7 linked regions of the Cricetulus griseus genome follow. The protein of the gene in region 7 interacts with the protein of the main gene of each other region in a biochemical or structural test. Links are inferred from orthologs where the notes say so. Each region holds a gene or a part of one and is shown on either strand. Other genes may lie near its edges. The genes, in order: Fyn, Mapk13, Tuba1b, Lck, Mark1, Casp6 and microtubule-associated protein tau.

Evidence for each region.
Region 1: of the proteins of microtubule-associated protein tau (region 7) and Fyn, one has a biochemical effect on the other in vitro, tested with the Homo sapiens proteins (10 studies listed by BioGRID and IntAct, with this or other methods). The link is inferred for Cricetulus griseus from reciprocal best matches to the Homo sapiens genes MAPT and FYN.
Region 2: of the proteins of microtubule-associated protein tau (region 7) and Mapk13, one has a biochemical effect on the other in vitro, tested with the Homo sapiens proteins (2 studies listed by BioGRID). The link is inferred for Cricetulus griseus from reciprocal best matches to the Homo sapiens genes MAPT and MAPK13.
Region 3: the proteins of microtubule-associated protein tau (region 7) and Tuba1b form a complex in vitro, tested with the Homo sapiens proteins (2 studies listed by BioGRID). The link is inferred for Cricetulus griseus from reciprocal best matches to the Homo sapiens genes MAPT and TUBA1B.
Region 4: the proteins of microtubule-associated protein tau (region 7) and Lck form a complex in vitro, tested with the Homo sapiens proteins (2 studies listed by BioGRID, with this or other methods). The link is inferred for Cricetulus griseus from reciprocal best matches to the Homo sapiens genes MAPT and LCK.
Region 5: of the proteins of microtubule-associated protein tau (region 7) and Mark1, one has a biochemical effect on the other in vitro, tested with the Homo sapiens proteins (4 studies listed by BioGRID). The link is inferred for Cricetulus griseus from reciprocal best matches to the Homo sapiens genes MAPT and MARK1.
Region 6: of the proteins of microtubule-associated protein tau (region 7) and Casp6, one has a biochemical effect on the other in vitro, tested with the Homo sapiens proteins (2 studies listed by BioGRID). The link is inferred for Cricetulus griseus from reciprocal best matches to the Homo sapiens genes MAPT and CASP6.

What each region holds. Positions count from the first base shown.
Region 1 is NC_048595.1:262,034,638-262,038,137, reverse strand, and holds part of Fyn (tyrosine-protein kinase Fyn), read right to left. Parts: intron 3,205-3,500; coding exon 3,040-3,204; intron 2,690-3,039; coding exon of another isoform or gene 2,534-2,689; intron 235-2,533; coding exon 55-234; intron 1-54. UniProt on the Homo sapiens protein: Non-receptor tyrosine-protein kinase that plays a role in many biological processes including regulation of cell growth and survival, cell adhesion, integrin-mediated signaling, cytoskeletal remodeling, cell motility, immune response and axon guidance.
Region 2 is NW_023276806.1:233,879,500-233,882,531, forward strand, and holds part of Mapk13 (mitogen-activated protein kinase 13), read left to right. Parts: intron 1-2,468; coding exon 2,469-2,577; intron 2,578-2,738; coding exon 2,739-2,768; intron 2,769-3,032. UniProt on the Homo sapiens protein: Serine/threonine kinase which acts as an essential component of the MAP kinase signal transduction pathway.
Region 3 is NC_048595.1:395,400,751-395,404,984, forward strand, and holds the start of Tuba1b (tubulin alpha-1B chain), read right to left. Parts: upstream 2,801-4,234; 5' UTR 2,702-2,800; coding exon 2,699-2,701; intron 1,367-2,698; coding exon 1,144-1,366; intron 1,007-1,143; coding exon 858-1,006; intron 738-857; coding exon 1-737. UniProt on the Homo sapiens protein: Tubulin is the major constituent of microtubules, protein filaments consisting of alpha- and beta-tubulin heterodimers. Microtubules grow by the addition of GTP-tubulin dimers to the microtubule end, where a stabilizing cap forms.
Region 4 is NC_048595.1:23,478,236-23,482,349, forward strand, and holds the start of Lck (tyrosine-protein kinase Lck), read left to right. Parts: upstream 1-1,314; 5' UTR 1,315-1,320; coding exon 1,321-1,425; intron 1,426-1,846; coding exon 1,847-1,928; intron 1,929-2,093; coding exon 2,094-2,184; intron 2,185-2,463; coding exon 2,464-2,562; intron 2,563-2,827; coding exon 2,828-2,931; intron 2,932-3,197; coding exon 3,198-3,347; intron 3,348-3,595; coding exon 3,596-3,748; intron 3,749-3,878; coding exon 3,879-4,058; intron 4,059-4,114. UniProt on the Homo sapiens protein: Non-receptor tyrosine-protein kinase that plays an essential role in the selection and maturation of developing T-cells in the thymus and in the function of mature T-cells. Plays a key role in T-cell antigen receptor (TCR)-linked signal transduction pathways.
Region 5 is NC_048598.1:9,725,744-9,730,011, reverse strand, and holds the start of Mark1 (serine/threonine-protein kinase MARK1), read right to left. Parts: upstream 2,801-4,268; 5' UTR 2,676-2,800; coding exon 2,616-2,675; intron 760-2,615; coding exon 556-759; intron 1-555. UniProt on the Homo sapiens protein: Serine/threonine-protein kinase. Involved in cell polarity and microtubule dynamics regulation. Phosphorylates DCX, MAP2 and MAP4. Phosphorylates the microtubule-associated protein MAPT/TAU.
Region 6 is NW_023276806.1:28,997,363-29,000,124, reverse strand, and holds part of Casp6 (caspase-6), read left to right. Parts: intron 1-1,020; coding exon 1,021-1,196; intron 1,197-2,762.
Region 7 is NC_048600.1:117,356,253-117,359,752, reverse strand, and holds part of microtubule-associated protein tau, read right to left. Parts: intron 2,609-3,500; coding exon 2,527-2,608; intron 1,342-2,526; coding exon 1,229-1,341; intron 1-1,228. UniProt on the Homo sapiens protein: Promotes microtubule assembly and stability, and might be involved in the establishment and maintenance of neuronal polarity.

The sequences.
Region 1 (3,500 bases), on a different chromosome or scaffold from region 7:
CCCTGCAAGCTGCAAGGCAGCGTGAGGAGGAGGAGGGGGAGAGCGCTGTCCAACCTTTATTCATGTACTCCGTGACGATGTATATGGGCTCCTCAGACACCACGGCGTAGAGCTGCACCAGTTTGTCATGCTTCAGCTTCTTCATGATCTGTGCTTCCTCCAGGAAGGACTCTGGAGACATTGTGCCTGGCTTAAGAGTCTTTATGGCTACTTTTGTGTTTCCATTCCAGGTACCTACAAATGTCCCACAACAGAAAGTCAACCCAGAAACTATTTTCATAAAATCAGACTTCAAGTTTTAAAAATCTTAAATTTTTTTTTACAAGCAAAAACAATTAACTGCAAAGGACTCTGTCATGTATGTCAACAGAAAAAATTGAGTTTACCTATAGTTGTTTAATAATTCGCTAAGATTTCCCATTTGATATATATCACTCTTTTTTTTTTAGCTCATCCATATAATTGTGAATGTACATTTAAAAAAGCTTTGGGCTCTCATTTAAGTGATGAAAGTCTAGGATTTAGAGTTGGCCTGGGTATCCAACAGCTGTCCCTTAGATAACAGGGAAAGACTGGAAGAAATGAGATTAAATTCCATCTTAGAGGGTGTGCCTCGTAAAAACATGGCCACACACGGAGGATGCTTGGAAACTGGTTCTAGATTTTCATTGTCTGCCCTGGGTGAGTTACTTGACCGAGTCCTTCAGCAGTCATTCTGTATGTGCTCATAAGCACAGGTAAGGAACACAGCATCTCCCTGCCCATACTTCCCCAGGAAAGGAAATCTCTCAGGCTCTGAGGAGTCACTACAAGAACAATGACTTCTAGCAGGTGAGCTGCAAAACCAAACAGCAGCGGGGCAAGAAGAGAAGTATTTAAATGTGCTATGTTTAAATACTTCTTTAAAAATCTAGCTAACCCAAAGGTGAGGCCTGGTTTACATCCACTATCAGTTAGTTCATCTGTAGAATACAGCAATGGACTAGCTTCTCATTCTCTTTTGGTTCTCAAATTAAAAAAAAAAAGACAAAATTCTGGCTTACTTGATTTCTATCTGATGACTTTGGAGGATAATTTTTAAAGGGAAAATAAAACTCTGCTAATTTAGATTATATTGCTTACAATTTGAAAGAGAATATAGGTTCAAACTAAGATTTACTCATATGGAATCTGACATTCAGATCTAAGCAAGGAGCCTGTATATCAAAGCATTTTATTATTCTGTTAAAACATAGTTACAACATACATCCCACAGAGGGGGAAAAAAAAAAACCAACGAAAGTGGCGTAAAGAGCTCAATTATCTCAGAAAATATCTGCCACTCAGTGTAAATGGGAGCTTGGACAACATTTAAGTAGCCTCCATGATTTAACTGTTAATGTTTTCTCATTTAAGCACTGTGCAGCCTTCCTCTCTTAGCAGCTTGGTAACTGTCTAGACTTCTATCCCAACTCTTCCGTTCCATGGGAAACAACACCTTGGTGCTCTGTGTAATGATGAGTTAAAGTTGATAGTTTCAACTGTTTGAAGATAAAATTTCTTATGGAGTCCAATTCTTCCTGATTGTAGGATCTGAAGAAATTCCTTGGGACTTACAACTTCAATTATAAGTTGGGTAGATAATGAGAAACAAGTTATATAAGCAGATTTTATAACACTTGAGATAAAGTCTAGACAGGGATGGGCACATTAATATGGACTCACTATTGTAATATGCATAATGAACGACAGCTAACATACATACATGCATGTGTGTGTGATCCATCATCCATGTGTGCATCTGTTTATGTTTCTGCATGCTACCTGCTATGCTTCAAGCATTTTGATTCCATGAATTCTCTTGCTGTGGGCCATCCCGGAAGACCAGATGTACCTTTTTATATCCTTTTAGACTCTAAGGAAGGGAGATTCCGGTACACTTTCATGGGCAGATGTTTTGGGGAGGGATCTAAGTCTATGGATTGTCTATAAGCCAAGGTGCATCTGATCCACAGGATTATAAATGCCATCTCAAGGGCCCAGTGCAGTCGGCATTACTGACAACCAAATGAAGAAAGATATGCATGGATCTAAGATCTACAAGAGATTTTAAACATGTCTTATATAACCCTCAAAATAATCCAGTGACTCTGGTTTTACAGATGAGGAACTGAGGCTCAGAGGTGTTAAACAGGCCCCATTTTTATGCTTAATTATCCAGCAAGAGTTTAGAGCCAGGCTTGCCATGCAGAAGTCCATGACCTTTCTCTATAGCTGCCCACACACAGAATCTTACCGTCCCATCTCACAGGAAGAGAAAGCCCCACATTGGCAGTGTGCTGGCTTCCTGTGTGCAGGTGCTTATGAGCCACATGAAATAGGACAGATGAACACAGCAAGGTGCCACCACATTCTGCAAACCTGGGCTCGATGCCCATCGAGTCACACAGGTCAAGGGTCTTTGTCTCAGTGGTCACATATGCATTTCTGTTCACAACTGTCCTTTTCATCGGCTTTGAGATGCAGCCAAAACAGAATGTGCCCTCTGCCTTACCAAGCCACACTTCAGCGAAACACCCCTGCCCCAGCTTCTTCTCCAGAAACAACGAGTCACGTGCAACTTCCCAAGCATCTTTAGACAATCCAGAAGTTTGTGGGGTACAACTTGATGAAATCACAGTTAAGTTAAAACACAAACCATCAGCTTTCTCTACAGGAAAGGGAATTAATAAAGAAAACACAGTCCTTATAATCCATAATCATGCATGCACTAGGAAAGGTGGAAGGTGACTTGCCCTAAGGGCAAGATTCAGCCAATATTTGCAGCTGGCAATGAAGGGTAAGACACTATGCAGGCTGGAATAGTCCTTCCACCAGCTATAGCATAGCCCAAGCCATCTGTCATTCTTGTTCATGTCTATCTTTTTGAGAAATTACAAATTTTTAAAAATAAAAATTGAGCAATTCAAACTGTCCGTTTTCATGGTCACCTTCCATCTTTGACGTTTGGGATTTCCCAAACGGGGAAGCTAATGAAAGAGAAATTGAGTTTCAGCATACCCATCCATACTTCCCCAAACTGCCCATTTCCCAGTCTCTTGATCAACTGTAGGGATTCTCGAGGGATTTCCCAGACATCTTTGGTTTTGACAGACAGATCGGTAAGCCTTGGCATCCCTTTGTGACAGGGGACTACTAGGCGGCAGCAGAGACCTGCGGCTCTCTCTGAAGGAGCAGGGCAGAGGCAAGGGAGAGAAGAGCAGAACATGTAACAACAGTGTGCACAGGCTGTAGAAGATCTGACCAACATAAGCTAAGCAAACATATTCACTGGAGGTAGATGAGCACATTTCAGATGGTCCCCTGGGCGTGCCCCATACACACAGGTGCAGAATGCTTTGGTTTCTGTGCACTGTAATCTAATGGACTAGCATACATATTCTGAGATTCCGAAAATGCCCTTGCTAATTTCAGAAAGTGCATACGTAAGAATAAAATGTGTGGCTGCCCCTTTCCCTTCT
Region 2 (3,032 bases), on a different chromosome or scaffold from region 7:
GGTGATAGCTGAAGCCCGGGGACAGGTCATGGCAAAATGGGACACAATGATGTTGATCCTGAGTCCATGTTTACTAGAAGGTGAGCAGATGGAAACTGGTGAGGCAGTTGACACTTAGCAAAAGGACACATGGGGGGGGAAGGAGTCTGTTCTCCGGATGGTCACTGGTGACCTTGATCCCAGCCGTTTAGGACAGAAGCCTTCTGCATGACAAGGTTGTCAGAGACAGTGTGTGAAGGCAGTGGAGAAAGGGGATGGGGAAAACTATTTCTCCAAGGTTGGAGAATGAAGAAAGGCTAAAAGATTTATTTTATTTAAAATTGTGTGTGAAAGAGAGAGCGAGCATGAGTGTAGGTGCCCTGAAATTACAGGCAGTTGTGAGTTGCCTTATGAGGGTGCTAGATCTCGAACTTGGGTCCTCTAGGAAAAGCAGCCAGTGCTCTTTTCTTTTCTTTTTTTTTCCCTTCAGTTTCCCTTCCCTACACGGTTTCTCTGTAGCTTTGGAGCCTGTCCTGGACCTTGCTCTGTAGACCAGGCTGGTCTTGAACTCACTGAGATCCACTTGCCCCTGCCTGCCGAGTGCTGGGGTTAAAGGTGTGCTCCACCACTGCCTAGCTGAGGCAAGTGCTCTTAACTGCTGAGTGACCCCTCCAGCCCTCAGCAATAGCATACAGAAGCAAAGAAGCAGGCAAGGAGATATACATACACACGCAACCCTGGCAGTCAGGAGGCAGGTGGAGCCCTGTGAGTTTTCAGCCAGCCTTTTCTACATATTCAGTTGCAGGGCAGACAGGCCTACATGGTGAGACCCCGTCTCAAAATCAAAGAAACGGTGTGTGAGTGTGTGTGTGTGTGTGTGTGTGTGTGTGTGTGTGTGTGTGTGTGTGTGTGTTCATTCACTTTAGGGGACTGGGGTGTAGCTCAGTGGGTAGAGTACTTGCCTAGCATGAACAGCCCTGGCTCCACCCCTAACTCTGAATAAACTGGGGATGGTGGTGTATGCCAGTGATGCCAGCATTGGAGAGACAAAGGCAGGAGGGTGGAAAATTCAAGACTATCCTCAACCTCGTAGTGAACTAGAGACAAGTCTGGGATACTCATCCTGTCTCAAGAGGGAAGGAAAGAAATATATATTATGGTGTGTGTGTTAATCTGTTGCTTTTTGTTTGTCCTGCACTTTGCCGTTACCACCTTGAGTCACAGTTCCGGGTTGTTGACATTGACCTGTTTCAAAATCCCACTTGAGTGCTTTAATAGCACAGGCCCCTTCTTCCTCTGCCTGCTGAAGATTGCTTCCTGCTGCCTTCCTGGAAAGACATATTTTGTAGTTAGTGGAGCCTGCTGGGCTGGGCGTGACCCTCCTGTGGGAGAAACTTTTGGATGGAAGCAGAAGCAAATGCTGGCAGATACTGCTGGCTCACAGCTGGTCTGTTTGGGGAGCCGGGCGTGGAGGAGGGCAGTGCCAGGGTACCTTTGAGGAGTGTGAACACAGCCATCTGGTTTTACTGAGTATGCTTCAATGCTGGTGCTCACCCTGAGCTCCGCCAACCAGGATGCTGTGGCAGGGGTGCCGGGTAAATCCTGGCTGTGTTCGTGTGTGTGGAGCCTCATGTGTGTATGCAAGTATGCCTGTATTTATGTGTGTGTGCATCTGGTCAGAGGTCAGAGTAGTATTGTTCCTCAAGCGCTATCTACCTTGTTTTCTTTTTTCCTTATGGTAGTTTGCAGGTGTGTGTGTGTGTGTGTGTGTGTGTTCTCGTGCGTGCGCTCCTGCATGAGTTTATGTGCACCATATGCTTTCAGGTGCCCACAGGGTCCAGAAGAGGGTATCAGATCTTCTGAACTGGACTTCCAGGTGGCTGTGAGCCTCCTGATGTGGGTGCTGGGAACTGAACCTGAGTCCCCTGCAAGAACAGGACGTGCTCTTTACTGCTGAGCCATCTCTTCAGTCCCTCTCCTTGTCTTGTGAGGCAGGGTCTCTCACTGGTTTGTCAATTAAGCCAAGCTGGCAGGCTAATGAGCCCCGGGGATCCTCCTGTCTCCACCTTCCCACACTGGGATTACAACCGAACCCCATCACACCCAGTTTTTGTACGTGGGTGCTGCAGCTTGAACTCGGGTCCTCGTGTAAGCGAACACTGTGTCAGCTGAAGCATCTCTCCAGCCCTGTTTTGTGTTGTCATCGTTGTTTTTCTGAGACAAGGTCATGTTGTGTAGACCAGCCTACCTGGGCCTCAGCATGTAACGCAGGCTGAACGTTAACATGTGCAAATCCTCCCACTTAAGCTCTGCAAGGGTTGCGATTACAGGCATGACCCATCACACCTGACTCTTCTTACGCCTTCTTGCCTGGTGTTGTGCCCACTTCTGCCCCTCTGGAGTCACACCCGGGCCTGTGGGAGGCTGGGCCTGTGGGAGGCTGGGCCTGTGGGAGGCTGGGGACTGTGCTAAAAGCCGCCTCCTTCCAGCTACCTGGTGATGCCCTTCATGCAGACTGATCTGCAGAAGATCATGGGGATGGAATTCAGCGAAGATAAGGTCCAGTACTTGGTGTACCAAGTGCTCAAAGGGTTAAAGGTGAGTGTGGCCTGCATGGTGGCCAAGGGCTGCTCAGTGCTGAGACTCAGCCCCTTGGTGGGAAAGAGGAGGATTTGAGGATGCTGGCATGGAAGCTGGTGCCCCGATTCATCTCTCTCTCTCTCTCTCTCTCTCTCTCTCTCTCTCTCTCCCTCTCTCAGTACATTCACTCAGCTGGTGTCGTCCACAGGGTGAGTACTTCCTCTATCGTAGTTCTCAGGGACCCTGGAGTCCTTCCACAGTGTGTGGGGTAGGAACTGGGTGGCTGGCCAGTCAATTGGGAGCAGTACAGTGACAGTTCTCAGGGACATGGACTGAGGATGTCTCAGCCTTGAGAAGGTGATGTAGTAGAATGGGGGGGTAGGAGAGACACTTTGGGGAGTTGCTGCCACTGAGCGCTGTGCTGGCACTTTAGTCTCTCAGGACAGGCACATGGTGGAAGAGGATGTAGAGTC
Region 3 (4,234 bases), on a different chromosome or scaffold from region 7:
ACCTTAGCCAGGTCTCCACCAGGTACCACAGTGGGAGGCTGGTAATTAATGCCAACCTTGAAGCCAGTGGGACACCAGTCCACAAACTGGATGCTGCGCTTGGTCTTGATGGTGGCAATGGCAGCATTGACATCTTTGGGAACCACATCCCCACGGTACAGCAGGCAGCAAGCCATGTATTTACCATGGCGAGGGTCACATTTCACCATCTGATTGGCTGGCTCAAAGCAGGCATTGGTGATCTCTGCTACAGAAAGCTGCTCATGGTAGGCTTTCTCAGCAGAGATGACAGGGGCATATGTGGCCAGAGGGAAATGGATGCGAGGGTAGGGTACCAGGTTGGTCTGGAATTCTGTCAGGTCAACATTCAGGGCTCCATCAAATCTGAGGGAAGCAGTGATGGAAGACACAATCTGGCTAATGAGGCGGTTAAGGTTAGTGTAGGTGGGGCGCTCAATGTCGAGGTTTCTACGACAGATGTCATAGATGGCCTCGTTGTCTACCATGAAGGCACAATCAGAGTGCTCCAGGGTGGTGTGGGTGGTGAGGATGGAGTTGTAGGGCTCAACCACAGCAGTGGAAACCTGGGGGGCTGGGTAGATGGAGAACTCCAGCTTGGACTTCTTTCCATAATCGACAGAGAGCCGCTCCATCAGCAGGGAGGTGAACCCAGAGCCAGTTCCCCCACCAAAGCTGTGGAAAACCAAGAAGCCCTGAAGACCTGTGCACTGGTCAGCCTGTAGGAAAAAAAGAAAAGGCATTGTTTATCAGTAGTGAACAGACTTTACTTATTTTGGCAGGTCCCAACACTCCCCCACACTGCATTTTAAATGAATCCATCCATCTATGGTATTTACCAGCTTGCGAATTCTGTCCAAGACAAGATCAATGATCTCCTTGCCGATGGTGTAGTGGCCACGGGCATAGTTATTGGCAGCATCTTCCTTGCCTGTGATGAGCTGCTCAGGGTGGAAGAGCTGGCGGTAGGTACCAGTGCGAACTTCATCTGGAAAAGGAGATGAAATCAACCATTCACAACAGTAACTGACACACACAAGCTCACTCACTCTTCGGCGGTGTGTGGAGAGGTTCTGAGTATGTGACCAGGACAGAATGCCTCAGGGAAGCCCCTGGCCCACTTACCGATGACTGTGGGTTCCAGGTCTACGAACACGGCCCGGGGCACATGCTTGCCAGCGCCTGTCTCACTGAAGAAGGTGTTGAAGGAGTCATCTCCTCCCCCGATGGTCTTGTCACTTGGCATCTGGCCGTCAGGCTGGATGCCATGTTCCAGGCAGTAGAGCTCCCAGCAGGCATTGCCGATCTGGACACCAGCCTGGCCAACGTGGATGGAGATGCACTCACGCTGTGGGACAGAAAGAAGGGGAAAAAAAAACTATTAGTAATGCCGCAAGCAGCTGGAATTCTAACCATGGCACAAAGTGACAAATCGTTAAAACTCGCAAGCATTTATTAAAAAAAAAAAAAAAGCTAATTTCAGCCTTTCCACACCTAGAAGTGCTTAGTCACACTTCCTTTTTTGAAAACCAAGATACGAAGGCTTTTCATTTACCCTGTGCCCTCAGAGTTCTACTTTTGCTTTGTGCCCAGACTTCCGGACAACTGTAGGCAGAGGAAGCATGTGACTTAAGCAATGAGGAAGGTTCTGGTGGCAGGGCTCTACGGAATGAGATAATGGAGCATTTATTTGTGCATGCACCGAGGCGCCCGGGATGCAGCTGGTTTGCCACTTCCTCTATTTGTAGGCGCTGAGCTCAGCTCCCCCCGCATCCGTCCTGGTCCAGCAGGGAATCATAAGCCGCTCAGATCCGATTTCTGTTACCCTCAAACCCTTCAATGTCACCACCTGGTCCCACACAAATTCCTAACTCGAGACAGCTGAGACTTCACGCTGTTATTGCTAAGTATTGTGGAATATAGTCCGAGACCTGCCCCACATTTCTTATTGCTTTCATTAAAAGCAAAAGGAAAATCGAGGCTGAGGTAGAGAGGGGGCTTAGTATTCGAGGGCCAGGGTTTGCCCCACCGTCCCCCCCAAATACAGGAGACACACCCTAAACGAATTAAGCCCGCAGTGCCGCAGCGCGCACGCGCACACTGCAGAGGCTCTTCCCGCCGCTCTCAGGCGGGAACGTAACGGTCGCGCATGCGTCTTTGTCTCCTGGCGTCTTCCCGCCCCCGCCTTTTCGCACCGAAGAGGAAGTGAGGGCGGGGAAAGGCTATGTGCGCGCGCCCGAAAAGCAGAACGCAAGGGTAGGGTGGGGGCAGGGCCCGCGCGCGGGAAGACTGCAGTCTGAAAGCGCCATGCTGTAAATGCCTTGTGCAGGGCGTGGACGGATGCAGACCCAAGTCCAGCGGGGCCCGGGAGAGCCCCTTCTCCACATCCCGGAGGTCCTCAGGGATGGGCTCATGGGTCCTCAGCATGGGCCTCATGCTCCCCGGCTCACCCAGGGGAACCCGGGACAACCCCATCTCCCCCAGACCCCGGCGACCCCCAGTAGCTGGGGCCCCATGCTCGCCCGCTCTTCCAGGGGTACCCTGGAGAGCCCCTTCTCCCTCAGATACAGGCAGCCCCCAGCAGCCTGGGACCCTTGCTCTCCTGCTCACACACGCTTCAGCCCCAGGCCCCAGCGAGCAGCCCTCGCCTCGCCTCCCTTCCCTGCACCGATGCACTCACCATGGTAGCTACGGGTTAGAAGGCGAAGGTGACAAAAGCAGACAGCGGGTCACGGTTACCGTTCCCGACAGCTAAGAGTCGAGGTAAGTAACGCAATGAGGTGGAGGCGTCGGCTCCAGAGCCTCTTAAGTAGTTGCTGGGGCGGGGCGGGCGCGGCCGGGTGGCCACGGTCCCTCCCCCGGCCGGCCAGGTCCATTGAGCGCCCGGCTGGCCGCCGCAGAGGCGGGCTCGGCTCGCAGTCCCCTCCCTGCATGGGCCCACGGGGCGGGGCAGCCGCCTGGGCGTGCGCCGATGCTGCAGACTGGGGCGCGCCGCTGCATTGCGGGGAGGGAGTGGACGCTGCCGCAGACAGACAAGAGGGTGTGGGAGCCTGGGCAGACTGGCGCAGTCTTGATGAACCGGGGGACTTGAGGGGCCCGCAGTGTTAAAAGTGCGGCATCCTCAAGCGCTGAAAGGTGTGGTCCGGATAACTCAGCTGATCATTCATGTGGCCACACTCGATGAGTGAGTTTTGCCTTTCTCCTTGCTTCCTTTAAAGGCTGTGCTTACCTGCTACTGTGAAAGCCCCTTATAAAACCCTATCACTATACTTAGTATATTGCCATGGTTCATTCTCGAAACTAAAGGTACCTAGTACTGGAAGCAACTTGAATCATCCAAATGTTAAAATAGGGGCGGACTAGGCCAGAGTTTCAGCCTCTAGCTGCCAATTTAATGGGATTGCCCTAAATAAGGGCTCTTTCAAAAGATTTTTAAAATCATTTGAAGTGGTAAGCTAAATCGAAGAAGTGAGGGAAAACTAGAAGGAAAATGTCTCACTGAAGAATACAGACAGCAAGGAATTCTTGTGCTATACAAATTTTCTGAGTGCTGTGATGACCAGATTATAATCAATAAACTACCCTCCCCATTTATTCCAAGGCCATAAACTACTACTGACCTTAGAAATTCATAATGTGATGAAGGCTAACACGTGGCTTTAAACCGCCCTCACGGAACAGATTGCAATCACTCAGCTATTCAAAATGTCCTCCTGGCAGTGGCAGCAGGGAACACAGATCCTGTGCCGGCTGTGCAGCCTGAAACTCCCCTTTTCAGAGCCTCAGGCGCCTCTTAGTCAGGTGCCCTAGGATTCTCCACATAGTGCAGGAAAGCAGAATTCCAAGAGTCCTAGTAAAGGAATGCCTCAGCCAGTTAATTAAATAGGAGAAAGAGCAAACACTTGAAGCCAGGCGCCTAGTGTTAGAAGACAAGGCCCCCAAGTGCTTCAGCAGCAACTATGTAGGTAATTTCGGGGGCTTTGTAGTTACATTGTTTAAAAGAGGTAATGTGGATTGAGGAAATAGCTCAATTAGGACCTGAATTTGATTCCCCTGAACCCAAAAGGGGGGGAGCACTTTCATGGTGGCTTGTGCTTATATGCTGCAGAGACTGGCAGACCTCTGAAGCTCAGTGGCTAGCCAGACTGGCCTTTCTGGGCTAGCTCCAGGTCCGTTGAAACCATGTATCAAAAGCATACAAAAAATGTATCCACAC
Region 4 (4,114 bases), on a different chromosome or scaffold from region 7:
ATGTGAGTATTTAGGTACGGGGGGGGGGGGCTGTGTGTGTGTGTGTGTGTGTGTATGTGTGTGTGTCACTATAGATTAAAAGACTGAGCTGGGCAATGGTGGCACATGCCTTTAATTCCAGCACTCAGGAGGCAGAGACAGGTGGATCTCTGTGAATCCGAGGCCAGTCTGGTCTAACAGAGTGGGTTCCAGGACAATAAGAGCTGTAACACAGAGAAACTCCGTCTCCAGAACAACAACAACAAAAAAGACTGAAAGATGTAGTAGGTCTTCCTTAATATCAAAGTGGTCAAAAGCATGATATTGTACACCTTGATTAATCCCTAGCACTCACAGGCAGGCGTATCTCTGCAAGTTCGAGGCCAGCCTTGTCTGCACTGGTCTACATGGTGAGATGCAGGCCTGCAGCTCAGCCATGGCTACATATGTAAGACTTACCGTTAAAAAAAAAAGAAAGATTTGAATCTCCTGCTCATAGTAAATCATTCTCTGAGGACCAATGCTCTCCAAGCAGTTCCGAGGTGGTAACAGCTTTAGGGAAGGAGGTACACAGACAGGGATTCCAGAGGCTTCAGGGGGAGTCCCCACTCTGACTTGATTAGAACAGCTCTACTTCATTTGCTGCGTCTTTGAGGTTCTGCTTGACTTCATTTGACAAAAGTTTCCACAGCTCAGACAGGCAAGCAAAAGCTGCTACAGGCAGCAGAGCGACTGAAGGGTTTCCTTCTGCTGGTGAGAAGCAAAAGCATGTTAGCAGAAACAGTCTGAAGGAGCCTGTGCTGTGAGTGGGGGTGGGGTGCTGGGGGCTGGCAGAGGTCAAAGGTTGACTCCAAGGAACAGGAGCCTCTCAGCTTCAGTATCTAGGCAGCGGCCTTGAAATTATAGGGACATGCATCCTCCTTGGTGGAGGAGGGTGAAATCAAAATTTAGGTTTCCCCCGGGGCTTGGCCCAGTGTGTGTGATGTCTCCCAGGTAATCCCTCCAAAGTAGGGAACTAGCAGGCCTGAGGAGGCAGGAAGTGGGTAACTACACTAACAAAGGTGCCTGTGGCGGTTTGCCCACCCCAGGTGGGAGGGTGGGGACTCGATTTGGGCCTGGGCCTCCTGTGAACTTAGTTGTTGCTTGAGGGCTCAGAGTGAACCAAATCAGGATCTAGAATCCCACATTTTGGCTCTGGCTCTTCTATATGGCCAATGGGAGCCCCAGAGCAGACAGTCTCAGGAGTTCTGTAAACTCCAGGGCAATACTCTAGGATGTCTGATGCTGGGGGAACCGACTTAGGGGAGCTCCTTCAGGCCTCTCTACGTTCTTTCAGGGATCATGGGCTGTGGCTGCAGCTCAAACCCTGAAGATGACTGGATGGAGAACATTGATGTGTGTGAAAACTGCCATTATCCCATAGTTCCACTGGACAGCAAGACCACGGTAAGAGGAAGACGGAATGGGTAAAGGGAGGCTGTGTGACCAGGAGGAAAAAAAAAACAAAGCAAATGAATCATAACTAAAGGTCCTGGAAATAGCCAGGTGGTGGTGGTGTGTGCCTTTAATCCCAGCACCTGAGAGGCAGAGGCAGGTATATCTCTATGAGTTCAAGGTCAGCCTGGTCTACAGAGTGAGTTCTAGGACAGCCAGGGCTGTTGCACAGAGAAAGGTACTGGAAATAATAGAGAACCCATGTCCGCTGGAGTACAGTAAGGAAGACATCAGAGAGCAGAACGGACCTTCCTAAGGTCAGGTGCACACAGAGCTGGTGAATCCAGAGAGAAGGCTGGAAAAACGGAAAGAGCAGAGGTGAGGGGAGCCGGGTCAGAGAAAAATGACCCAAGCCTCATTTCCTACTCCACAGCTGCCCATGCGGAATGGCTCTGAAGTTCGGGACCCACTGGTCACCTATGAGGGCTCCATCCCACCAGCCTCCCCGCTGCAAGGTGACTCCATCCAGCAGGGTGTGAAGCCTGTGGATGGTTGGCCGTTGGTGTCCATACCCTCTGTACCTACCCTCAGCCTTGTCTGCATCCTGCCCTGTGCCCCTTGAACTCCATTGTTCCCGTCAGCCCTGGGCTGCTGCTTCTTGACTCTTCGTGTCTTTACAGACAACCTAGTTATCGCTCTGCACAGCTATGAACCCTCCCATGATGGAGATCTGGGCTTTGAGAAGGGTGAACAGCTCCGAATTCTGGAGCAGTGAGTATCCTTCTAACCCACCTTGCCGTGTGTGTGTGTGTGTGTGTGTGTGTGTGTGTGTGTGTGTGTGTGTGTCTGTCTGTCTGTCTGTCTGTCTGTCTGTCTGTCCGTCCGTCCTCAGCCCTCCTACATCCCTGACAGGCCTCAGGTGAGGGCTTTTGGAATAAGGTAGAAAGCACTAGAATGATCATACCAGGGAGTGGTGGCCTGGCCTAACTGGGAACTCTGAGGGTTTCCAGGGCCTACGTAGGCCATGCTGATGGTCTCTCTGTGGCGCAGGAGCGGTGAGTGGTGGAAGGCTCAGTCCCTGACCACCGGCCAAGAAGGCTTCATCCCCTTCAACTTCGTGGCGAAGGCAAACAGCCTGGAGCCTGAACCGTGAGCACGGGACCGTGTGGGAATGGAGGAGAACATCTAGGGATCTCAAAGAAGGGCGTGGTCTTGGGGGTGGGGGATGTTTGCCAGTGATGGAGGGATAATTGACCAACAAGCCAGGCAAGCCTTTAATCCCAGCACTCTGGAGGCAGGGGCAGGGGCAGGCAGATCTTTGAGTTCCAGGTCAACCAAGGCTGCAGATTTAAAAAAAAAAAAAAAAAAAAAAGAGTCGACCAACAGCCAATGGTCTTTCTTCTGCTCTTTGTAGCTGGTTCTTCAAGAATCTGAGCCGTAAGGACGCTGAGCGGCAGCTTTTGGCGCCTGGGAACACGCACGGATCCTTCCTGATCCGGGAAAGTGAAAGCACCGCGGGTAAGAGGCAGGACCCTGTGGGCGGGGCCTCTGCTTGTGGGCGGGGCTTCGAGTTGAGGGCCATCACCTCCCGGTGAGGAGGTGTGCGGGGGTGGTGGCCTCCTGATTTACCGAAGGCAATCCTCTCTCTCCCTCTCTTTTTTTCCTCTTCAACTTCCCTCCTCCTCCTCCTCCTCCTCCTCCTCCTCCTCCTCCTCCTCCTCCTCCTCCTCCTCTTCCTCCTCCTCCTCCTCTTTTCCTTCCTCCCGTCTCCAATCTTTCTTCAGGATCTTTTTCACTGTCGGTCAGAGACTTCGACCAGAACCAGGGAGAAGTGGTGAAACATTACAAGATCCGCAACCTAGACAACGGTGGCTTCTACATCTCCCCTCGTATCACTTTTCCCGGCCTGCACGAGCTGGTCCGCCATTACACCAGTGAGCAATGGCAGAGCGTTTTCACCTGTACCCACCCTAGCGGCCTATCTCCCCCCAAGTCGTTCCTAGGGACCCTCCAAGCATCGGCAGTACCTGACCCTCCACCCTGCAGGCTAACGTTGGGTGACAGGCTCCCCTCCCATGCCGGCCTATTTCCCCTGTGCCGAACGTGGAGAGAGGTAGGGGCTGGAGGGAGCACCCAAGGTCTCCAGCAGTGACCGCCTTACTCCTCTCCTCTGTCATTGCAGATGCCTCTGATGGGCTGTGCACGAAGTTGAGCCGTCCTTGCCAGACCCAGAAGCCCCAGAAGCCGTGGTGGGAGGATGAATGGGAGGTTCCCAGGGAGACACTGAAGTTGGTTGAGCGCCTGGGAGCTGGCCAGTTTGGGGAAGTGTGGATGGGTGAGTGTGGAGGTCAGAACTGATTGGAAAGAGAGGAGGAGATGTCACCAAGATGTGAGACACTGGCCTCTTCAGGGCAGCGACTAGTTCAGGGATCTCTGCAACTCCCTCACCCGCAACCCACCTCCAGGGTACTACAACGGGCACACGAAGGTGGCAGTGAAGAGCCTGAAGCAAGGGAGCATGTCCCCCGATGCCTTCCTGGCGGAAGCTAACCTCATGAAACAGCTGCAGCACCAGCGGCTGGTCCGGCTTTACGCAGTGGTCACCCAGGAGCCCATCTACATCATCACAGAATACATGGAGAACGGTGGGTGTCCCTGCTATGTCTAGCCGCTTGAAGGCGCTGTTGTCGTCCACTGTCTT
Region 5 (4,268 bases), on a different chromosome or scaffold from region 7:
TGCAAGCCAACAATCCCAGCATTTAGAAAGTGAAGCAGGAAGACCCACATTTCAAGGTCAGCCTCAGCTGGGCAGCAAGTTCAAAGCCAGTCTGGACTACAAGAGACCCTGTCTTGACAACCCTCACTAAACAAACAAATGGTATTTCAGAAGTAAATTCTCTTGTCGTCTGAAAAATTATCTGTATAGTAGTAGCTTGATGTTATCTCCAACCAGATAAAACTTAGTGAGTGGTTTTCTACACATTTACATCTAACTTAATCTAGGTAGTGACTCATAGAAATGCAGAGTAGCAACAGTAACCAGGCGTGTTCACATAAGAGATAAGCTTCAGCTAATCTGCAGCACGCCTGGTCTATGAGATGCTATAAAGTAGAGGCAAGTCTTTCCTTGGTGTTAAATGGTGAGGAGATCTGCCATGAAACCGACCTGGCTGCAAATGTTCTGTGTGCATAAATTCCAGTATGCACCAGGCACAGGTGCCATTCATTCCCCAACATCAACCAAGACTCTGGAGCAAGGTACAGGCAAATATCAAAAGGCATGGAAACTTACCTCTCTGCCTGTTAGAACATGTCTTGCCAATTTCACTTTGGCAAAGTTTCCCTTCCCTATTGTTTTCTGTAAGCGGTAATTTCCGATGTGAGGCTGTTCATCTGGTGCTGACGTAATGGAGTTTCTACACCGGGGAATGTTCTGTCTGCTACTTGATTTGGTAGGCTGGATGTGTGCCTCAGTATATCCATCCACACATGTATGCTAGGGAAAAGCACAAGAGGTCATGATCACTTTGATTATTATAAAAGGACTATTAAAAGACTACAAATAATGCTCACTAACAGTTCATCTTTAATGAAAGTACACTATTTTAAAATGTGAACACACTTTATCATTGCTTCCCAACTTAAGGGCCCTTACCAGTGGGTACAACACTTAAAGTAAAATTCTCTACACATCTTTAAGTCTGTATTTTGATTTTCAAAATCAATAGGTAGACGGATTGCTGGTTAGCACACAGAGCACTATACCATTTTAGGTTGAGTGACATCGTCCATGGTTACCACCTCGCTAGAAGGGCAGCATCCTTACTACCACGACAAAAATTCTCACAAATACGGTTGTTCCTCTGATCCAGGGCTGCATGCTCTTTTCTACGGCTTGACCTTGCCCCTCCCCGCCTCTCTCTCTCTGTCTCTGTCTCTCTATCTCCCCCTCCCCACTTTGTAGGGGACAGTGTAAGCCATGCCTGCTAGAAGCTGGCTACAGGCATGCCTGGCTCCTTTTATTTCTTACTACCGCTTCCCTTTTCTCATGTACACTAGTCTGGCATCACATCATGAGGGGTAAAAATGACCTCCTGCCTCCACTTCCCGAATGCTGAGGCCACAGCAGTGCTTTATGTGGTGTGGGAATTCATTTGACAGGATGTGGGAGACAAGCCTCTTGGCATACCTTTGAGGAATTACCTGAATGAGATTCATAAGGGTGGGAAAATCCACCTGAACTAAATAAAAAGAAGGAAGAGAGCTGGGCACTGGCATGCATTGCTCTGCTCCCTGAGTGGTTGTGGATGCAGTGATGACCACTGCCTCATGCTTTTGCTAACATGCTTTCCTGCCATGATAGGTTGTATTCCCTTGAACTGTGAGCCAGAACACACCCTTCTCTCCCGTGTGGCTTCCTGTCAGACATCTGTCAGAGCAGTGAGGAGAGTAGCTAATGCTCACTGTAACCCAGGACATTACAAAGATGCACCTGTGTGCATATGTGCTGAGAAATGGTGTTAGGAAAAACGTTCAAGTCTTTATTTCCCATAATTAAACCATTTTCTGTAAGGTAAGAAAAGTTCATGTACACAGTAAAACACTCATCCTTAACATACAAAAGTCTCAACTCTAAGTCAGTGTTTCAGGCAGCACTTTTTGGCACTGTGTGAAGTGACGATGTGCACAGTACAACATGTGGGTGTTGTGTGTTCAAAACCAGAGCTTCAGTGAAGTCACACATTGTGAAATATATGTATGAATGCTGCCAAAGACACCTTGGATTCATTACATGTTTGACTGTAAACTAATACTTGGGCATTACACTACAATATAAACTATTGGTAAACCATCACGTGTGTTTGTACTTGATGGCAGTGGATTCTAGGACCAAGGTGGGCTCCAATGTCTGGGATTCAAGCCTGTTCTCTCAAGAGTCCTCTGAGACTCATTGTCCTGGGCAGTTGGCTCCCTGGCCCTGTTATAGGGAGGGAGGAGAATTGTAAACAGCTAAGGAATTAGAAGTGCTATGCACAGGCTGGAGAGCATTTACTGCTTTTGAAAAGGGCCCAGGTTTGGTTCCCAAGACCCTCACCCAGGGGCTCATAACTGCCTCTAACTCTAGCTCCAGCTACTTTTGTCTTCCACAAGTACTGTACTTGCATGCCCAAACCCCCACATAGACACACACAGACACAGACACACAGACACACAGAGACACACACACATATACACAATATGTAAGAATAAACTCTTGAAAACAAAACCACACTGTGTCTGCCCTTGAGAACAGCTCGAAGGTGAACCACGCCCTTCGGAGGTCAGTACCGATCATCCCATGGTATAAAATACCTGTGGTGACAACACGAAGCCACAGTTCATCCATAGACATCCAGTCGGAAACTCCAGCATGACTGTTCAGTGGGGTTTCCCAGTCATTTCTGCAGGAGCTTGTACATGTTTGACTTAAGATGCTTTGCCGTCTACCTGCTGCTGGTTATTTGTTGTTCTACATGGAAGCCTCACCCTCACCAGAGGGCAACAACTCTGCTCTGCCTGGGCCTCTCAGGCAAAAACCCCAGCTTGCTGCCTCAACCGGGCTTCCTCAGCCCTGTCTGTTGGAAGCTGTGAACACCTAATCTGATGATGTTGGGTCTGCTGCTTGCTTCCGGCTCTCTCCCTCTCCCTTGTCCTTGCAGTTGGACTACTCCAGCCATTTTTGCCAGATCTGCTAAGCGCCCAACTAGATGTTTTATTATCTGCTCTTTTACTCTTGTTAATAAACTCACTTATTTGAAACCAAAAGTGCAGTTACCGCAGACCACTCCCTGAATAGAGCATGCACACTCAGAAACGTTTCCCTGTGGTCAATCCTGGGAACTTCACATTTTGTATGTAACCCTGAATGTCATGACCCACAGGTTAAGAGGGTGGGTTCTAAACTAACCAGGAGCTTGGGCCAGTCACTCTCCACTCTTCCTTATATTGGCCAGGCATATAAAAACAACTGCCAAACCAGCTGCCTGTTCCAAATATACCCCTAATCAATTCCTGCCCCACCTCCTCACACAACTTACTGTGTCTGAGAGAGAGAGAGAGAGAGAGAGAGAGAGAGAGAGAGAGAGAGAGAGAGAGAGAGGAAGAGAGCTGCTTATCCATGGAAACACTTAATTGTTGGGCGTCTGTGTTCTTAACTGGGGAGTGGAGCTAATACTAACGAGGCTCTTTACGTCAGGACTATCTGAGGACATTCTGTGGATTCATATGAAGGTCCTTAGGACAGTGCATGATGAGCACTGTGTTCACTAGTGGAAATGATACAAACAAAGGGACAAAAACAGTCTACCTTATACCCGAAGTGACCAACCCTAATGCCGGATTATCTGGTGCCTGCAACCAGCTCCTAAAACTCACCTTTCTTTTCTGTGAGCAACTGAAACCATTCTGGCTAGCTCAAGTAGAAAGGATATTTTAAGTCTGTAAGTAGCTGAAAAAAAATTCCCCCAAAGATGAAGTGAAACAGGTAAGAATGAGAAAATAGGGAAAACAAAGTAATTATAAATAGTACTACTGTCTGAAAATGAAACAAGGGAGGGAGGGTGCAGCAAGGGCTTCCTTAGGTAGGATGCCCAGAATAGGTGGCTGTCTGCTCCATCTGGAATATGATAAGGAACAGAAACAGTGCAAGAACTTTCAGGCAGTGAAATGGGAACAAAACCTCCATCCAGTCAGGTGTGCTTGGTGAGTTCATGAAAGGAAGGCACAGATGAAAACACAGAGGCAAAAACTGGGCTTCTTTGTCCAAGGCTCACATCTTGAAAATTCAGTTGTCCAAAGGCAAAACCAAAATTCCTACTACAGCATCCAGATGGTTTCTAGTCACAGACATGAATTCCTGCACAACTGACCACACTAAGCCAGTTAAAGGCAAGGAAGGCACAAGACTCTGGCAAGTCGGTAAAGAATTACATGTGAAACAAGCCTGTTCCCTAACTTGAATTAATA
Region 6 (2,762 bases), on a different chromosome or scaffold from region 7:
TTAAAAACACCCTATTGAGTAAAAGTTGGAGGAGCATGTGTTCTGTTGTCCTTTGAGGAAATGCTTTGCTTTTCCTATAGTGTGGTGTTGCTATTAGGTCTGTCACTAGTAGCCTGAGTGGTGTTGCATTCTGCTTCTGGTTTCTTCAAGGCTTCCATCAGGAGAGGAGGTTAGACTTGGTCAACATCTTTTTCTTCATTTCTCAAAGCAATGATGTACTTTGTCTTTGAGTCAATTTGCATATGATGAACCATCATTATAATCCTGCAGTTAAGCTAACTTGGTCATGGTATGTGTTTCTTTTCATCTGTTGTTGAATTCATCTTACAAGCATTTTACTGAGAATCTCTGTATCCATGGTCCTTCGGGATGTTGGTCTGTGATGTTTTTGTTGTATCATTAAGTAACTTGGATCTTAAAGGAGCCTCCCCATTTTTTCCTAAATCATTTTTCTGTACTTGATATTAACTTTTCAAGACAGGGTTTCTTTATGTAACAGCCCTAGCTGTCCTGGAACTCACTTTGTAGACAAGGCTGACCTCAAATCCACAGAGGTCCACCTGCCTTTGCCTCCCGAGTGCTGAGATTAAAGGCCTTCACCACCATGACTGGCTGAAGAGCTAATATCTTTAGTGAAATTGCTTCAAACTTTAATAATTAGTTTTTAAGCCAGCCATGGTAGGACACACACCTGTAATCCCAGCACCAGGAGTCTGGGGGTGGAGGATTACTGGATATTTAGGGCCAGCCTTCTTAGGCAAGAGTGTCTCAAACAACCAAGATTTAGAAAGAAAGTTTAGGGCCAGCCTGGCTATAGAATGAGGCCCAATCTTAAGAAAAAATAAGAAGAAAGGATAAAGATGTATTTTATTACAGGATGTTTGTATTTATTTTAAAAAGTACACCCTTTTCCTGCTATTTTGTAAGTGTATTTTTTTTAATGCCCATAACTTGAAGTTCTACATGTGGATAACATACTCTTATTTTCACCTCTGCATGCATTTTGCGGGGCATCTGTAGTGTCGACCTCAAGCCATATAGATGCTGATTGCTTCCTGTGTGTCTTCCTGAGCCACGGCGAAGGCAACCACATTTATGCATATGACGCCAAAATTGAAATTCAGACATTGACTGGCTTGTTCAAAGGAGACAAGTGTCAGAGCCTGGTTGGAAAACCCAAGATATTTATCATTCAGGTAAGACTGATCATATCATTATTTTAATTATAAAATTCAGTTGACTATAATGGTTAAAAAGTCAATCTCTAAGTTTCTCCAATAATTGGAAAGGTCCCTTTTGAATCCTGGTCTAATAGAGTTGTGTTTTCAGCTGTTAACATTTATTATAAGAGTATTTTGAGCCAGGAGGTATTGGCACACACCTTTAGTCCCAGTACTCGGGAGGCAGAGGCAGCTGGATCTCTGAATTTGTGGCCAGTCTGGTCTACAGAGTGAGTTCCAGGGCAGCCAGAGCTACACAGAGAAACCCTGTCTTGAAATACCAAAAACCAAACAAAAAAACTAAACCAAGTGATGATGGGGCACACATTTAATCCCAGCTCTCGGGAGGCAGAGGCAGGCAGATCTTTGTGAGTTCGATGCCACCCTGGTCTACAGAGCGAGTTCCAGGATAGTCAGAGCTACTACCAGTTAGACCCTGTCTAAAAGAGAAAAACAGGCAAGGCTGGGCTGGGTGTGGAGGACTTGCCACATGGAAAGGAAGACCTGATCACCCAGGACCGTGCAAAGGCAGCCTGGGCTTAGGTCTGTGGCAGCTGGAGTGCATGCAAGCCTGTGGAAGTGATACAGGGGTAAGCAGGCAACCCTCCCTTGCCTCATCCCTTTTTCACTTCCCCAAGCTCACTGCCAAGCTGCCAAATAGTTTCAGAAATAACAAGCAAACGTTTCGAGCATGAGAAAATATTTATTTGGTCCTGGAGATTTCAACAAGTAAATTTCAGGGTGGAGCAGAGTAGTTTAGCTTGTCACATTGAAGAGTGGGATTTAGCTGCATGGCAGACCACTTGCCTGGCAAACGTGAGGCTCTCAAACTAGAAAATAGGAGAATTTAATGCTAGCTTCTGACTCGAAATTAATAGTTATAAATTTAGAATTCACTTTAAAGTGGGGATAGGCAGAGAGGAGAGGGAGGGGGAGACAGACAGAGAGAGAATGCTCAGGGCTGGAGGAATGGCTCAGTTAGGATTAACTGTGTCTCCTGCTGTTCTTGCAAAGCCACTGAGTTTCCATCCCTGCTCCAGGGATCCCAGCACCCTCTTCTGAACCCTGGGGGCATCTGCACTCACTTTTGAACATTCACAAAGAAACTTAAATTAGTTCATTTGTTCATTCAAGACAGGGTTTCCCCATGCAGATATCCTGTGGCTATCCTGAACTCACTCTGGAGACCAGGCTGGCCTTGAACTCAGAGACCCACCTGCCTCTGCCTTCTGAGTGCTGGGGTTAAAGGTGAGTGCCACCACCTTAGATACTTAATTTTTAAACATCGAAAAGCATATTGTAAACAGAAGTTGAGGGCTTATGGATAGGTATCTTTTTGAGTCCGACAATGCTATTTCAACTATTGACAAATTATGACTGAAACTAGACCGAGAAAACACCCTTCAGAAATAATTACCTGATTGAATCAAAATGTTTAGGTAATCATGACAGTTTTTAAAAAGAAGGATATACTATCAGCATATCTTGGTTTACTGGGGGACAGGTTATAAACATTGTCTAAAAGGAAACGTTACCAGGGAA
Region 7 (3,500 bases):
GGAACCAGGCCTGTGACTGACTCCCTGTGGCACCCGGGGGCCAATAGACCCCATATGGGAGCAGTATGTATGAGGCTTTGCATTTCAATTGAGTGGTGTGTGACAGAAATGGCAGCCATGTGTTGGGCACTTCAGCAGTCCAACGGATGCTTCATAGTACTACCAGGGGCTTTATATAAGCAGCAGATGCAGACACATGGCTGCAGAAGAAAGCAGGGTGCCGTGGGGACTCGCCAGGCAGGGGAATCCCAAGGGCCATCCAACAAGGCCAAGTAGAAAAACAGCTGAGCCACCTTGGGTAAGTACCCTTTCTCGTGCTAGGCTGGGTCTGATTCCAGGCCATTCCCTCTGTTCAGTCATTTGCTGGGAGGACCCTGCAGAGGAGGCTGCCTCCACAATATGGGGCCAGGCAGGTGTGGAGGTTGTTTATGCTGGAGGAAAAACCCTACAGTCACACCCTGTGTTAGGTGCAAGAGGAGCTTGCTTAGAGCCACGCACCTCTGTGTTCCCATACCCTGCACATATTCTCCTCAGCCTGGAGACCAGACACAGCTGGGAATTCGAGGCCCAGCAGCCCCAGTGTGAACACTTCTCTTCAGAACCCCTGTTTTTTTGGTGGTGGTGGTGTTGTTTTGGGTTTTGTTTTTTGTTTTGTTTTTGTTTTGTTTTGTTTTTTGAGACAGGGTTTTTCTGTGGCTTTGGAGGCTGTCCTAGAACTAGCTCTTGTAGACCAGGCTGGTCTCGAACTCACAGAGATCCACCTGCCTCTGCCTCTCAATTGCTGGGATTAAAGGTGTGCACCACCATTGCCCAGCAGGAACCCTGGGTTTCGTCTGTCTGTTTGGTGCGAATCTCATGTAGCACAAGCTAACCTGAAACTTAATATGTAGCTGAGGGTGGTCTTGAACTCCTGATCCTCCTACCTCCATCTGGGATGGCAGTTTAATGCCCAGTCTATGCAGTGCTGGCGATGGAACCCTGGGCTCTGTGCATGTTGGGCAAGCACTCTACCAGCTGAGCCACAGCCTCAGCCAGAGTCACTGTTTTGCTCTAGCTTTCTAGTAATTAGTGGAAAAGATCTGCCTTTGGTCTGGTGCCTTGTTCTTGGTACATTGAGCTGAGGGGGAGAATCTACCTCTAGGTAGTCCATATGGGACCCCCTAGGACCAGCCTTGTCCACTCCATTAACCCCCATATCCCCATGTGCCCCCCATTTGTCCCTCTTTACCTTCTTATTCCCTCCTCCAGGGACATGGGTGATATTATCCAAGGAACCAATCTTCGACTGGACTCTGTCCTTGAAATCCAGCTTCTCAGATTTTACTTCCACTTGGCCACCTCCTGGAACACAACCCACACAAGAGCCTCTTGTCATCTGTGATCTGGGGGACTTAGCATATATTAAATGAGGTCACAGACTGCAGAGCAAAGTGCCTGGGGCTTCTGAAGGCTTGATAAAAAAAAGAGGTCAGGTATCACCCTTCTGGAGGGGAACATTCACTAATGTGCCCATTCTGACTCCAACAGAGGCTGGCCAGTGATCACAAGAACAGCCCACCTTCTTGGAGTTGTCAGAGCTCTACTATATCTAAAAGGAGAATTAGGCACAAGGGAGCTCTTGTAATGGTGCCAAATCACCTGCCCCATCTCTAATCGAGATGCTCATCAGGTATTTACTCTGCAAAATCTTCCTCCTGAAATGGTTCAAAGATACAGGAAGCTTGGCCAGCGGAAGACATGCTGAGTTCTAAACTGGATGCCTTCCAGCGGTGGAGATTTTCATATGAACATCCTGTAAGCCACAGCCCCTCAAGACCTTGGAATCGTACTGCATGTTAAATGTACAATGAGGGGCTGGAGAGATGGCTCAGAGTTTAAGAGCTCCAACTGCTCTTCCAGAGGTCCTTAGTTCAATTCTAGCAACCACATGGTGGCTCACAACCATCTATAATGAGATCTGGTGCCCTCTTCTGGTGTGCAGATATACATGGAAGCAGAATGTTGTATACATAATAAATAAATTTAAAAAAATGTACAATGAGGAGAGACCCTACTCCTCTCCCTTTGACTTGGGTTACCACACCAGGGTGTGGCAGGAGGGGAGGTGAATTGTACTGCTTTCCTGGGAAGGGTGCTTTGTTTAAACAGTCACCATGAGAGTAGGACAGCAGCCCAGAAAGATCTTACATTATAGCCATTGATGAAGTCCCCCCATGCTGGCTGGGACAAGCCTGAGACATCCATATAGCTTGCCTTTGGGGGCCCAATCAGTCCATGGCTGGTCCTCTTTTACAGACTTTGCTGGAGAGCCACAAGATAGAATCTAGGACCAGCTTCTCCTTTTTCTCCACCCCTTGTCTAGGCTGAAAACACCCTGCTCAGGAGCCAGCAGAGACAGTCACATTTCCCAGGCCACACAGCACCTTCACATTTAATGTTCAATGCTCAGGTTAGCCTGTTCCAGGAAGCACCTGCCAGACTAGCCAGCACCTTCCTGTCCCAAAGCCTTCCTTCCTCAAGGGCTACCTGGTTTGTGATGGATGTTGCCTAATGAGCCACACTTGGAGGTCACCTTGCTCAGGTCCACTGGCTTGTAGACTATTTGCACCTGCAGGTCAGAGGGGGTGGGAATGAGACAGAAAACGAAGGGGGTTATGTTACTAGGGGGTGTAACACAATGCAAAGCCCAAAGGACCACTTGTCAGTGGCTCCCATTAACTACTGGATATACCCCACCCAGGGAGGAAAATATGCTCCCCAAATCCAGCCAATCCCTGTCCCCCAGGAAACTAGGTCCTCACAAAGTAACTATGGGACCTGAGCATATTCAATCCCAGAAACCCAAGAGACTCTCATGGAAAAGCAGGGTGCCTAGTCCCTGTGTGTGATCATGATCTCTATTTAGATATTAAGCATATAAACATAAATCCTTAACTGAGGAAAGACCCATCACACACAGTGGAGGAAGAAGTGACGGCCTATGCAGCCTCCAGATGATCTCCTTGGAAAGGACTCAGAGAAGAGTCGACAAGATGGGAGTGCTTCATCCAGGGAGCTCCCTCAGTCCTTGACCACCAGTTGGCAAACAGGACCCAGGACAGTGCTATGACTCAGGGTAAAAGTCACATGGTGTCTGGGCACACAGTCTCCTGCACACTTCATCCTCTACTGAAAAAGCAAAGCAACACCAACAAGGATGCAGGCACACAGTGGAAACCACAGGTTTAGTGTCTCAGCAAGCATGAGTGAGTAGACATGACACACAGGGAGACCTGCCTGCCCAAGAGGTCCTTCATGTGACCCAGCAACGACGCCTGCTCTGGGGAATGGCAGTTGCTTCCTGAGAGGACACCCTGGAGGAGGCCACCCCAGTAGAAGGGGCTCCTGGGAGCCAGTCTCTCAGAACTAGTCTTATAGGTTAGATAGCTGGTCACTAACTAATTCCAAATCCCATGGGTCTCCTATATAGACCACGAGTGGGGTCATTCCAGTGAGGGAAA